Linked DNA regions of Mytilus edulis. The protein of the gene in region 2 interacts with the protein of the main gene of each other region in a pairwise test. Links are inferred from orthologs where the notes say so. Each region holds a gene or a part of one and is shown on either strand. Other genes may lie near its edges.

Region 1 (7,386 bases), on a different chromosome or scaffold from region 2:
TCCATTTTTAGATGGTGACGTTCCCTTGTCACCATCTTACGGTGTTTATATATCTCAACTTGTACGATTCGCTCATGTATGTAACAATGTTTTAGATTTTAACGAGAGAAATTTATGTATTACTGAAAAATTATTACACCAGGGTTTTCGATATCACAAACTAGTCAAAACATTTACTAAATTTTATCATCGGTATAAGGACATCATTCGTAAATGTAGCTCAACATGCAGACTTCTTATACGTTCAGGTATTTCACATCCGATATTTTATGGAAATATTCTTTATAAAGCACAAAGGTGTCAGTATTCACCTCAAAAACTAACAAAACCTTTGAATAGACTTATTAAGAAGGGATATAGTTACGATACTGTTGTCAGGTCATTAAAGATTGCATATTTTGGCGTTAATATTGATTCACTTATAGGGTCTTTGCATCGGAACTAAACACATTTATTCAAAAACCAGTTGTTGGCATGACACGGGTTATGTTCTTCTCATATATGTTATGATGGTATGATACTAAACCCCTAACGGGAAGGATTGTGCCTGATGTTCATATGATGAAATCATAATCTTTCAGTCAGTTTAATGGAAGTCTGGAGCTGGCATGTCAGTTAACTGCTAGTAGTCTGTTGTTATTTATGTATTATTGTCATTTTGTTTATTTTCTTTGGTTACATCTTCTGACATCAGACTCGGACTTCTCTTGAACTGAATTTTAATGTGTGTATTGTTATGCGTTTACTTTTCTACATTGGCTAGAGGTATAGGAGAGGGTTGAGATCTCACAAACATGTTTAACCCCGCTGCATTTTTGCGCCTGTCCCAAGTCAGGAGCCTCTGGCCTTTGTTAGTCTTGTATTATTTTTATTTTAGTTTCTTGTGTACAATTTGGAAATTAGTATGGCGTTCATTATCACTGAACTAGTATATATTTGTTTAGGGGCCAGTTGAAGGACGCCTCCGGGTGCATGAATTTCTCGCTACATCGAAGACCTGTTGGTGACCTTCTGCTGTTGTTTTTTTTTTCTATGGTCGGGTTGTTGTCTCTTTGGCACATTCCCCATTTCCATTCTCAATTTTATCTATTGAACTTCTCTATTGACTTTAGATACATACATGTATCATTTATTTATGATCATGTTTACCAGGACTAGATTACCAATCAAAACACATCCAAACGAATTTAATGTATTGTAAGGCCCAAAAGACATCAAAACAGTCAGATGAACACATGACTTAACCTCTGTGTACAGTTAATCATTTCTTTTTTACTCTACAAAAATGCTCTAGTTAATAATATCAAGTATAACTGTATAACTGTACATGTTGTATACCTTCTGTGTATTTGTGATTAAATGTTGTTCTTCTCTGCCTGACGTGATTAAAGGTACTTTGCAGATAGGATCAACAGCAGCCTCCATCTGTTTTACAGCTGCTTCAATAATTCGTACTAAATCTTGAACTAAGAAGTATTTAGCCTCTTGTAAAAGTTCTAACAATTCTTTTCTGGTTTCTGGTAATGGTACAGATCCATCTCGGAGGAAATTCAGGATTTCTCCAAAGTGGCTTCCACTCCTGTCTATTAATATCCATCCTAAAATAGACACAACTTGATATATAGATATATAATGCTAATCTAATTTTATGGATATAGCTAAGTAAACATATAAGATGTGTAAGGTTTATTAGTTTTTCAAGTATAAATTTTATCATGAGGGACAGATTTAAAATTTAAAATTAGTGGGTATTTCATGATCTTGATGATCAATTAATGTACTTATTTCCCAAGATAAGCAATCATGGCAATGGTAAGTATAAACATGGTAAAGTTAAAAAAAAAAAAGAACCGTTTCATTATCATGCTTATGACATTTATCATTTTTATTAAATCATAATGGAGCAAATTCAACAGCAGCTCAAGTCTTGTCAGAAGTACCACATGTATATTGATGCTACTGTGCTATACCCCCTCTTGTATGCTTGTTCTTAGTCTACAAAATTATAAGACTCAATTGTAAATAAAGGCAACAGTAGTATACCGCTGTTCAAAACTCATAAATCCATGGACAAAAAACAAAATCGGGATAACAAACTAAAACCGAGGGAAACGCATTAAATATAAGAGGAGAACAACGACATAACACTAAAATGTAACACATATAGACAAAATCCCACGAGAATAACAAATATAACATATATATATAACATCAAAACCAAATACATGAATTTGGGATAGACAAGTACCGTGACACGTCTTATCGCAATGTGAATTTACACTCAAAAATAAGAGAAAACAAACGACACAACGTTATAATGTAATACACACAGAAACGAACTATAATATAACAATGACCATATTCCTGACTTGGTACAGGGCATTTTTAAAGGAAAAAATGGTGGGTTGAACCTGGTTTTGTGGCATGCCAAACCTCGCACTTTTATGGCCATATGAAATATAACATCAAAATGACAACACAGGACTACAATATAAATAAATTGGAGAACACAATTGACAAAGAATCACACGAACAACAGCCAACAAAAGGCAACAAGTTTAAAATTTTAATACGCCAGAAGTGTATATTGTCCACACAAGACCTATGTGTGACGCACAGATACAAAAGTTTGAAAGCCGAAACAAGTACAAAGTTGAACAGCATCGAGGACCAAAAGATCAAAAAGGTTGTGCCAAAAACGGCAAGGGTTTTCCGTTAAGTTACCAGAAAATCCCTATAATTTAGAGTAATTTATACTTTTGCAAACAGTAAATTTAATAAAATGAATATTCAAAAGATGTACATGATAAAGCTGAAGTATTAACTAATTACAGGAAACAACTGAAATACATTTACATAACCAGACATTTGAAACACAAAAGTAGACACATCCGAATAAAAGACTGTGTACCACCAACTTATACCAATTGACTGTATAAACCTGTATACATTAGATGAATCCATGTCATATCGCCCTGCTTTTTCACCAACTCGCCCCACTCTTGTTTACCAACTGAGTTGGCAGGAGTAAATTTAACCCTTTTCACAAATGGGGCAATTTTAGAAAATGGTGCCAGTTTATAAAAGAGTGGGGCGATTTGTCCTGCTTCCCATTAGATATACATGTACATAGTATCATCAGAAACAGATGCCAACATCGTCATTGATTTCACGTACATGTCTTCTTCTAAGTTCTTCTGTTGACATCCGATGATTACATGCTGTTGGCATACATGGATTATTTACAATATTTTTACTCCAATTTAAACAAAGTGGAATTAAAGTGCAATGAAAATATCAAATTATATGTATATTATTATTAACCAATTAGGAATAATAACACTGTAATATATATGCAACATTTAACGCTAAATGAACAAGAGTTTAATAGCATCATCTGTGTCATCACAGTGAATTTGACCATGATTTTTACCTTCTGAATCTGTAAGAACCTCCATTCTGCCACTAAACATTGCCCGCAGCATTGTGTCTTGTTTGGTTAATGTCCCAATGGTTGTATAGTGGAGGGATCCACCAACATTCAGCTTCACATACTTGGACGATGTTCCTTTTATCACAGTTTTTGTCTCCCCAGACATAGTAAGTGACATTAAATACAAATTTGTTATAAAATCTTCACTAATACAGTTTGTTCTGTGGTAAAATTTGTCCAATTGTTGTAATAATTGTTTTCCTTTTTATGAAATATGATAATTCAACATGTTTCCTTCTTGAATGAAAGAACATGTTTGTCTTACTGACATTTTAAACAGTGTATTTATACCAATTTCTAAATATAGAATTATTTAATGCCTGAAAGTTGACGTAATGTCTTGGGAGTGATATGCAAAGTTAAAAGAATGTTGGTTTCGTATGCATATGAAAACAACTTAATCTCTGTTTAAATTTTTCCTTTCAAGTTTGGAAGTTACAAACATATCTTTTATTATATTACTTAAAATACAAAATTAATTCTATTATGTTTTAATATTTTGTATTATACGAAACAGTAAATGTAAACAAGTACCTGCTGATTTGAAAAATCTTGGTTTTATTTGCGCTTTGTTTAACAGTGGCTACGTTATTCTTTCAAGCACAAAATTGATTGGACAACTTCCTTGACATTCCATTCTGTTTGAAGATGGCAGACGAAGCTCTTTCAAGAGCTGGTTTACACTTTGATGAAATTAACAAAATTAGAGTCCTTGAACCCGAAGTAGCACAGCAAACACAAGAATTAAAAGAAGAATGTAGAGAATTCGTTGAAAGTATGACATATACTAACTGAGAAATATTGTAATACTGATTAAACCATTTCATTTTTTTTGTATTGAATAATTATTTTTGGTTAGATCATATGTTTTCGTGTTATGCATGCTTTTTAAATGGAAATTGTGAGGTCACAATACATTCTTAATATGAGGCAGGCATTACCTGTAAATGGGGACGAAGTCTGTATGAATTATTTTTTTGTAACTTAAATATTTGTTAAAAAACAAGAAACGGAAATACCGTAACGTTTTCGATGTTGGTTCTGTTGTTAGGGATTTTAGTTGTGACGCTATTTAAGTTATGACGTCATATGCAATGTAAACAAAGAAACGCTATCATCAGGTAACGTTTTTTCATATCAAGGAATTATTAAAAATGAAATTGGTATTGCGTTCCTTCCTATTTTGTACTAGACTGATAAATATATATTTTACTCAAAGTTTCATACAAACGAGACCGGAAAAAGGAAATACATTGTAGATTTCTGCGCAGATGCGGGAATTCAAAACATGACATCAAAAAAATTGAACGATTTTGAGTTCATTCATTGTCCTTAGTACAATGAAAATTTATTTTTAAAATTTTTTTTTTATTGATTTTTCTACTGTTTTTGGGGACTTTGTCCCCATAATATGGTCTCAATAAATACCAACAAGAAGAAATTGATAAGCAACAAGAAGAAAAAAATTGTGACAAGAAACTATTTACTGTTATTGTATCAAACATGTCAAAACAATAGATTTATAGAAAATTTATCATTTGATTATACATGTATTAACTATCCTTCATTGTTTCTTCTTGTCACTTATAAGCATTAACATGACATTTAATATTAACATGATAAATAGCATGAAAACTCACATGGCAAGGAAATATTTATATATCTTTTAAACTCATTAGAGTGCATGACGACTCACCTTTCAGCCAGCTGCCTAGAGATGTGAAAATATTATTTAGCACTTGTCATTTTTTTTTCTCTTTCTTTGCAGAAATTGGAGATTTTCAGAAGATTGTAGGAACTTTTATAGAAGTTGTTGATAATGTTTCCAAAGAAGTAGAAAAAGAAAAGATGAAGGTGGGTTTTAAACACAACTCAGAATACATTGTAAATATAACTAATTTTTACTACCCATAAAAGAAGATGGTGGATTTCCTAAACTGTTTTGCTACATTTTTCTTTTCATTTGTAAAAAAACCCACTTTTCCATCATATATTTGATGTAAAATAAGTAGATGTTTGATAAATGTTTGCATATGAGACAACTAGCAGAGACAAAATGAGGAAATGCTAAAATGAATATAGGTGAATGTGTGTTCTTCAACAATGAGAAAAACCCATACCGCATAGTAAGTTAAAAAGACCAATACATTGAAAAACTTTAAAGCAGTTCAAATGAGAAAATAACCTGACTTTTGGTTAAACAACAAACATAACAGACATCTACCAATGTCAAATATCAAATACATTATAACAGCCTACTAACTTATGCTTGGTACAGGCCCACACAAATTATGCAGCAGGGCTAAATATATTGAACAGCATATATATAATAGAAAGAAAGATGAACTGCTAAAATGTGTTATACATTGAATTAATTTTTTTATATTATTTCAAACAAATATATCAGTATGGGATTTTTTTTATAGCTGTTAATCATATTCATAATCATGTGTAGATCAGGTTTAGAATATCAATAATGTGGTCATTTTCATAAATTTCCTGTATAAAAAACTTTGAACTTTTTGAAAAACTAAGGATTTTCTTATCCCAAGCATAGATTACCTTAGCCGTATTTGGCACAACTTTTTGGAATTTTGGATCCTCAATGCTCTTCAACTTTGTACTAGTTTGGGTTTATAAATATTTTTGATTTGAGCGTCACTGATGAGTCTTATGTAGACGAAACGCGCGTCTGGCATACTAAATTATAATCCTGGTACCTTTGATAACTGTTTACACCACTGGGTCGATGCCACTGCTGGTGGACGTTTCGTCCCCGAGGGTATCACCAGCCCAGTAGTCAACATTTCGGTGTTGACATGAATATCAATAATGTGGTCATTTTCATAAATTTCCTGTATAAAAAACTTTGAACTTTTTGAAAAACTAAGGAGTTTCTTATCCCAGGCATAGATTACCTTAGCCGTATTTGGCACAACTTTTTGGAATTTTGGATCCTCAATGCTCTTCAACTTTGTACTAGTTTGGGTTTATAAATATTTTTGATTTGAGCGTCACTGATGAGTCTTATGTAGACGAAACGCGCGTCTGGCATACTAAATTATAATCCTGGTACCTTTGATAACTGTTTAGACAGAGGCCATTCAAAATGATGCCATTTTAATTTTAAGAAATTTTATGATACTGAATTATTTTTCATTGAGTACCAATTTTAGTTGATTTCTTGAGGAGAAGCAAACCACAAATTTATATATTCAATGCAGTATAATTCATCTATAAAACACTAAAATTAATATTGCTACCCATGAAAATAAATAAATACGTGTACTGGAGACTGATGTTTGGGCTTACTAAAAAAAAAAATTCTCATAAAGACTTAATTTAATGCATAAACTGATGAATACAAGATGTCAATATACAGTCCATAGAATAATTAAACTTTGACATGAAGTTTTGCCACAGCACATCAATGGACTTATACCTTTTTTTTAAAATTCTTATGTAATTTATTATTTGTATATTTCAGGCAATAGGATCTAGAAATTTATTAAAATCTATAGCAAAACAAAGAGAAGCACAACAACAACAGCTGCATGCTTTAATCACAGAAAAGAAAATGCAATTAGAGAGGTAAATATTTGCAAATTTGCAGACACAAAATATTGTCCTTTTATTATTATTATTTGATCATGTCAAAAAACAAAACATAAAAAAGTGAAGGATATTTGCCTCTCTATTTTAATTAGTAAAACTATCAGCTACATAATGTGTGTTAGTTCATGATGTGAAATTCTTACACCAACATAAAAAAGCAAAGGAACTTTTGTTATTCATCCTAAGTTACATGAAAGCATGACCTTTTGCTTGGCCTTGCACCTCACTATACTTAAGATACGCTCTTGCTTTGGTTTTACTGGACTTCTTTGCTATAC
Region 2 (7,835 bases):
ATTAGCACCAAATCACACATTTATACAATATCAAAATTTTATACAATAGAAAATTAATATAAAACACAGCAAGTATAATTTTTATTGGATATATACACATTTATATATAGTCGGCTGTAAGAGAGTATCTGCTATTATTAACTTTTACAATTATAAAAAAGACCTATATATTTTTATTTTTGATTGCAGAAACAGAAGAATGACCACATCCTCTGGCGCTGCACCAAGCGTAACAAGACCATCAACTGCCCTGCTACTGTTATTCAAGATGGTGACAACTTCAAACCCGGTATGAAAGAGCATGTCCACCCAGCAGAACCAGGGTCTGTGATAGCTGTCATGATAAAGAAAGAGGTATGTTTGTTATCTATACATATTAATGAAATTGATTCCATCAAGAACGCTCAATAAGATTTGTAAGCGGACAGCTGTATAACTTTTTTTCAAAAGACCGAAACAACAGCTAGATGCCTTTTTTGTATTGTTCTTTTGTAATTGATTATGTTTTATTGCCTTAGTTGTTATCGTCTCTCTCACGCATGAAATTAGAATATACACGTTTATATATCCGGGTGCTTAAGTTAGTGTCTGAAGGCAAGCTCCAAAGGTACCAGCGCAAACAGAGTAGACAGACCCAGGGCCGTCTTTTTGCTTTGTGGGACGAGTATTGCAACAACAGCATCTCCGCGTCTAGACTCCTTAAGGAGTGTGCCAGTGTTTACGGACCACCACCAAAGTGACTTTGAGTGTTAAGACTTATAGTGCTTGTCTATATGTTATGTTATGATTTCAGTATTTAACCTTTGTGTTCATACCTATAGTATGCTTTTGACCTAGTTTATCATGTTTATTACAACCATGAACCATGCTTTTAGTGCTTCATTTTGTGCTGTGTATTATGTGTTGTATTGTTAAAAATGTTTTGTTTGTCGGTTAAAAATATACTTTGCAGACTCTAAATACAGCTTATTTATTATTATTTATTATTATTTATTATTTATTACATTTATTACATGTATGCATAAACTGTTGAATATAATATATAATAGATATAATAAATAAATATTATTAATATTCTACATGTGTTTTATTGATTTTGGATACAATGGTAACAGAATTATGGATTACATTAAAACTAGTACATGCACATTCCAAGTACATGTGTGGTGAAATCTATAAAGTCAGAAAAAAGAATTCACACAAATAATACACCTATCAAAACGACTAAGCTGCAGTACAGTCCTGTGCACAAACAAATAACTAAAAGGAATATACCACTTAATAAGATACATATTCAAAGATTTGTCTGGGTGCCGAACAAATAACTAAAAGGAATAAACCACTTAATAAGATACATATTCAAAGAAACAATGTCCAATATTGACAATAATGTTATAAATAGTGCAGGAGACAAATAAATAACACTCAAACATAATTTTTGGTTCACTATATATAGATCAAAGATAAATAATTTATAAGGTGCCGATTTGTCTATGTGAGGTGCCGATTTGTCTAAGTGCCGATTTGTCTGGGTGCCGATTTGTCTTTCACGGGTGCCGATTTGTCTTTGGTAGGTGCCGATTTGTCCGGGTACCGATTTGTCTGGGTGCCGAACTGTCTAGAATTCGTGATGAAGGCCATACGGTATCACCATTTTCAAACACAAGTCCAAAGAAGCAGCAAAATTGATATATTTTGTATAAACTGAACACATATATCATCATTTTATAGCAAAAGTTTCATTGCACTATCAGGTCATGGAGACTAAAATGATAAATTAAATTTTAGTAAAATATTTTCTTCTGACGGTTGAACTCACCATCAGTCAGAGCTCAGACATAAATAAGTCTGAATCTGCTTTTGACTCATAGAGGTCTAAATTTTTTAGTTTTAGGATTTTTCTCCCTTTAATGCAAGACAAAATACGACCTTAATAAGTCAATATTGTTAAGCAAGAAATAATTGACCAGAATCAAAAAGTTGCAAATATCGACTCCTACAAGCATTGACAAGTCGATAAGTTATCAAAATTGGTTAACTTCAAGACCCACGCATATTTATAAAAAGGTCATGCATCGAAATCAAATAATGACAACATTAAAAGACAATGCTTTGTCTTCTAAAGAAAAATATGAATGAGAGTCTAAAAAATCGGAGATAATGTTAATTAACCATACAATGCAACCACCTGGAACCACACTTAATGCGGTAAAACATCTGTGTTTAGTAAGGATGTTCAATTAGATAATTAAATATAGATAGCTCAAGTCCTTGAGAACTCTCAGACGGGTTTTTGCTGTCACAGGTGGTGTACTTTGGCCACCAAGTAAAATTATAGTTAAGTTTTTTAATCACAATAAATAGACCTAAACAAGTCTGTCATTTTCTGACTAAGATAAGTCTAAAATTGAAAACACATTTTTATAATAAATACATGTTTCAACTTCTTTAAGTCAAAAACAAAAATCGACTTGTTTATGTCTGAGCTCTGCCTGAGTGCTCTGACTGATGATCATTGTTTTGTGACCATGGCCAAAAATGACGAGTCCCTGGACTTAAAAAAAATCCTAAGTGAGAACCCTAAGTACCTTGACCTATAATGGTTTACTTTTATTAATTGCTACTTGGATGGAGTGTTGTCTCATTGTTTTTTTTTACCACTCCAAAAATGGTAGAAAATGGAAAAAATAAACTTTTGTCATTCAAAATGTATCTTGTTCCACTTGTAAAGTACTAAAGATCGTTCTGTCTTTTGTACCATGCCCATTCTGTTGTTGAAAACATTTGTTATCAAAAGCCTACAAAAATTTAATCGAGAAAATTTTGCAAATGCTAACATGTAACGAAGAATTTCGTCCCCCCTTTTTTTTGCGACATGTTTACACAATATTTTGATCAGATTCGGCGGATTTAAAATTATAAAAACCAGTGAAAATGTAGACTCATATGTAGATCTTTAAAGTTTTTGAGGCTGATCGTATACAATCATACAAGAAAGATGTTGTTTCCCTGGATACTGTGATGCTATTTCATAGGAAATTCAACTATGTGCTCCATTTTGAAAAATATTTCAGCAATGCATTGTGGGACTTGTTAAAAAGCGTAAACAAATCTAAACAAACTTTTTTCTATTCAAATAAAACTATAAAAATTCGTAAATTATTTGAAATTTGATGTTTTTTTGTGTTATTAGCAATAATTTTCTTAAAATAACAAATAATGATAAAAAAATTCTTCTGTATCCCGAATTTTATACTGATACCGGATCACATAACAAGCATTAGCTTTCTGAAAAACCTTATCTAAGACGGTATATATATATATATTCAGTCCATTCGGTTATTCCTTCAACATAAACGTTCAATGATCGAAAAAGGTGAAATCAAAATATTTATAGCTTAAGTTCTTGAATATGTAACGAGCTGCATATATTTGACAAAAGGGATCTAAACGGTTACTCCAAATCTATCTAGATACAGCCGCCGGTCACATTTGCCGGGAAGTGTATCGTGAACCTTAGTTTTTGATACTTTCTAAATTCATCAACAGACAATTATTTTAAAGACAATTGCGTTATAAATCATGTCAGTACCGAAAAATCGAGTACTGTGATTTTGATACATTTGGGAACTATATATATAGCTGACTGTCAATAATTTGGATCTCAGTGATGGTAACTAAGAAAAAAGGGAGGAAAGAGGGGGGGGGGGGGTTCCTACACAGGGAATATTTGTATCTAATAAACTCTAAATTAGAAAGTTTAAATTTAATTAAAAGAGGAAAAAAAACAAATGTAAGGCATATTGTGAATGGTCTTTCTTCCTTTCTCCCGTGAGGAAATCTCGCATCATTTAAAAAAAAATGTCGAATTTTCAGTACACCCATGCTAATTTTTTTCATTTCTAATGGAAATTTCAGTTGTAATGGTTTAAATGAAAGCTTGTCGGATTTGTGATTCAGAACATTAATAATAAACACACCTTACATCTATTTTGATAAGATTAAACTGCATTTAAGACCGATTTCGGGGGTATTTGTGTGCGTACATTGTCAGAAAAACACATTTGAAATGATTTTTTTGCGATTTTCTGATCGCATTGATATCTGCAAAAGGGACTTTTTAAGATCGTTAAATATTACTCTAACGAAAAATTGTAGCTTCTTTATCATTGTATGTAACATATTATCTACAAACTAAATTGAATCAGCTTACAGGAGGTTCATGTCTTTCCTGTTACCGCTACTTAAATCAGCCGTTAAATTATTCTCCCTATGAATATTGAATCAGTCAGTGTTGATCTCAAAAGTGCAAAGTAATCTTTACATTTAAAACGCCTCGTTTCTTGAACGACATTGTAGAGAAAAGAAATTTCAAGACATTAAGTGAAAAAAATAGAGCGTACTTTTTTTCATGTCAATGCTGTTACCACCAATTTTGATTAATTACACCAACAGTATACTTGTAAAAAGTGCAATAACGTGCTGGAAATCAAATTCACAATACAAAAACATAATCACTTCACCAAAGGGAGTAATTATTTCACAACAGCAATCAAAAACAAAGAAATTTGTCTATCCTGTTACTATGGTTGCTATGGTTACAGTAACAGGATAGACAATTGTAGACAAACACGGCGTTAATTTTTTTATCTTAATATATAGGTGCAAAACGAATGAAATATTTCGTTGTTTGAACTCATCTTAAGGTTATAACGTCTTAATATTCCCAATTAAGCATTCGCAGGTGCAATACTGTTATCGGTAACAGGATAGACAAAAACTGAAGGTAACAGGATAGACTTTTGTATAGTGATATATCAGAAACGTACGTTCCTGTTACCATCGAAATACATCTACATCTACATCTACATCTACGACATAGCGGAGCTATGTCGTCACTTGAAAAGGGTACTTCGACCCATCACTCAAGTATAGTTTTAACTTTTGACGTCCTCCAACATGACAATAAACTTCTATATTTACAAACAATGGTTCCAAAATTGTGCTAAAAATTTATATACAGGTGCAGGTTAAAAACATTTTCTACCAGTATCGACTGTCTGTGTTGCTAGCATCTACAGAGGAGCTTGGTGAGTTTGGTCTTGAATTCCTCACTGCTCACGATCTCTAATAGTTCATCTGGTAGTTTATTCCAGTCTCTGATGGTCCTAGGGAAAAAGCTGTATTTGTAGATATCTTTGTTTGGCCTGATTTGTACATATCTTTTAGTGTTCGGTTGGTGGAGTCTCGACGTTCTTCTTGGTTTTATAATGTGCGTTGGAATAGGTATAGCAACTCTTTCATGGATGGCTTTATGAAAGAGTGTTATACGTGCTACTTTTCTTCTTATTTCTAGTGGTGTTAGATTTAATTCTTCTAGAAGAGTTGTTACTGTTCCAGGCTCCCTTGAATAATTGCTTTTGATAAAGCGTGCTGCACGGCGTTGGACCATCTCAATCTGATAAATATGTTTTTGTAGGTGAGGGTCCCATGCGCTGCAAGCGTATTCAAGGTGCGGTCGGACAAGGACAAGATAGGCTTGTTTTTTAACTGCCTCTGGACATGATCCAACATTTCTTCGTATGAAGCCTAGTGCTTTATTTCCTTTGGTGACAACTTTGTTAACTTGTTTGTCCCATGACATGGTGTTGGTGAGTTCAGCTCCTAGGTATGGGTTTGATGCAACTGATTCCAGGATATGACCATTGATGTTGTAGTTGAAGTTGATGGTTTTCCTTTTTTTGGTTATTGTAAGGACATAGCATTTTGAAGGATTGAATATCATTTGCCAAATTTTTGTCCATTTTACCATTTTGTCGAGATCTTCTTGTAGATGTTTGCAGTCATCCTTTGACGAGATTGCTAGGTAGAGTAGGCTATCATCTGCAAACAGGCGAATTTTTGATGTTATGTCATTCCCGATGTCGTTTATGTATAGGAGAAACAGCAATGGTCCTAACACTGTTCCCTATGGTACGCCAGATGTTACTTTAGCAGTACTTGATCTTTCTCCTTCCAGTGTGACTTGTTGTTCTCTTTGTGTCAGCCAAGCTTCTAACCATGCAAGTATGTTTCCATCGATACCATATGATGCTAGTTTCTTCAACAATCGCTGGTGTGGTACTGTGTCGAATGCTTTACTAAAGTCTAATATTAGCATATCTACCTGTTGGTTATTGTCCAGATTTCTGGTTATATCCTCTGCTGTTATGACTAGTTGTGACTCACACGATCTTTTGCTTCTGAAGCCATGCTGGAAGTCCACAAGTATATTATACTTCTCAAGATGGTTCATTATGTGTTTAAATATAATATGTTCCATTATTTTACATGGAACTGATGTCAAGGATACTGGTCGATAGTTGACTGGTTGACTCTTATCCCCTTTCTTGAATAGTGCGATGACATTTGCAATAAGCCAGTCTTGTGGTACGCTTTGATCTTTTAATGTTTTGGTGAAGATTAACTGTAAGTATGGTGATATTGACTCTGCACACTCTTTCAATATTCTGCACGATATATTGTCTGGACCATTTGCCTTGCTTGGGTTCACTCCCTTTAATAGTTTGATTAACCCTTCTGTACTAATGTGTAGACTTGGTATTTTTGATGTTTCATTTTCAGTTATCTTAGGGAAGCTTTGAAAGTCTTCAATCGTGAACACTGATTGAAATTGTGCATTAAGTGCTTCTGCTTTTCCTTTGCTGTTGTCTAATATTTCTCCATTAACTTTGAGTGTTGATACTCCCACTGTTTCTCTCTTTTTAGATTTGATGTATTTCCAGTATTTTTTCCCTATTCTGTATTGGTCTTGTGTGTTTGTTGAAGCTTCTGATGTTGATGGACTTACTTCTAACATATCAAATATATACTTCTTATGTGATATACCAAGTTCTGTCTTTACTGCTTTTCTATATTGCTTGAATTTATCCCAGTGCTCTTTAGTTTGGTATTTCTTTGCAACTTTATATAGTCGTTCTTTTTTACGTATCATCTTCTTGATGTGTTGGTTCACCCAAGGTAGGTTAAATCTCGATGTCAGATTTTTGGATGGTATATGTAGGTCCATTGCTTGAAAAAGGTGAGTTTTAAATAGAGTCCAGTACTCTTCGATGTTCATTTCTGTTATCTTCTCCTTGAAATTTTCATATTTGCTGTTCAAATATTCTTGAACTTTTTCCATATTTCCCTTCTTATATTGATAGACTTTTCTGGGCTTGTTCTTAATTACCTTTGGTCTTGCATTGACAGTTGTAATTATCATCTGATGATCACTCATTCCATCAGTAATGCTCATTTTCTGTACCAGATTTTCATTAGTTGTGAGAACAAGATCTAGAATGTTCTTTTCCCTGGTTGGTTCTGTGACACATTGTTGCAAGCAGTGTTCCTCAACAATGTCTAATGCTAGTTTGTTTATTTCGTTGGAATAGTTATGGCTTGATTTGATGGTGTATCCTCCATTTGAGTCTTCTTCATCCCAATCAATATCTGGTAAATTGAAGTCTCCAGTAAGTATTATGTTAGGCAGAGTATTATTATGCGTTAATCTACTAATTGAAGTATTCAAGTTCTGTAATGGTGTAGGATCATTATCTGGTTTACGATAATAACAGCCAGTGTAGAGGGCTTTACAGCCTTTCAGTTGTATCTTTGTCCATCCTATTTCACAGTTAGTGTCTAGTGTGTCTTCTCCGTTGCATACAATGTTCTTACGTACAGCATTAATTATGCCGCCGCCTTCATGACCTTTTTCAGTTATTCGGTCTTTACGGACTATCTCATATTGTTCTGGGTCTAATATTTCTGCTGTTGATATGGTTTTGTCAAGATGT

The links.
Region 1: the proteins of intraflagellar transport protein 140 homolog (region 2) and intraflagellar transport protein 20 homolog B-like interact in a protein complementation assay, tested with the Caenorhabditis elegans proteins (2 studies listed by BioGRID). The link is inferred for Mytilus edulis from reciprocal best matches to the Caenorhabditis elegans genes che-11 and ift-20.

What each region holds. Positions count from the first base shown.
Region 1 is NC_092349.1:35,084,046-35,091,431, forward strand, and holds the start of intraflagellar transport protein 20 homolog B-like, read left to right. Parts: upstream 1-4,091; 5' UTR 4,092-4,141; coding exon 4,142-4,268; intron 4,269-5,261; coding exon 5,262-5,347; intron 5,348-6,980; coding exon 6,981-7,084; intron 7,085-7,386. Other genes in the region: BTB/POZ domain-containing adapter for CUL3-mediated RhoA degradation protein 3-like, read right to left, coding at 1,339-1,598, 3,434-3,611. UniProt on the Caenorhabditis elegans protein: Component of the intraflagellar transport (IFT) complex B required for transport of proteins in the motile cilium. Required for ciliary entrance and transport of specific ciliary cargo proteins such as che-3 which are related to motility.
Region 2 is NC_092352.1:66,726,724-66,734,558, reverse strand, and holds the start of intraflagellar transport protein 140 homolog, read right to left. Parts: upstream 3,086-7,835; 5' UTR 2,992-3,085; intron 741-2,991; coding exon of another isoform or gene 519-740; intron 355-518; coding exon of another isoform or gene 190-354; intron 1-189. Other genes in the region: uncharacterized protein, read left to right, coding at 190-354, 519-740; uncharacterized protein, read right to left, coding at 5,069-5,812.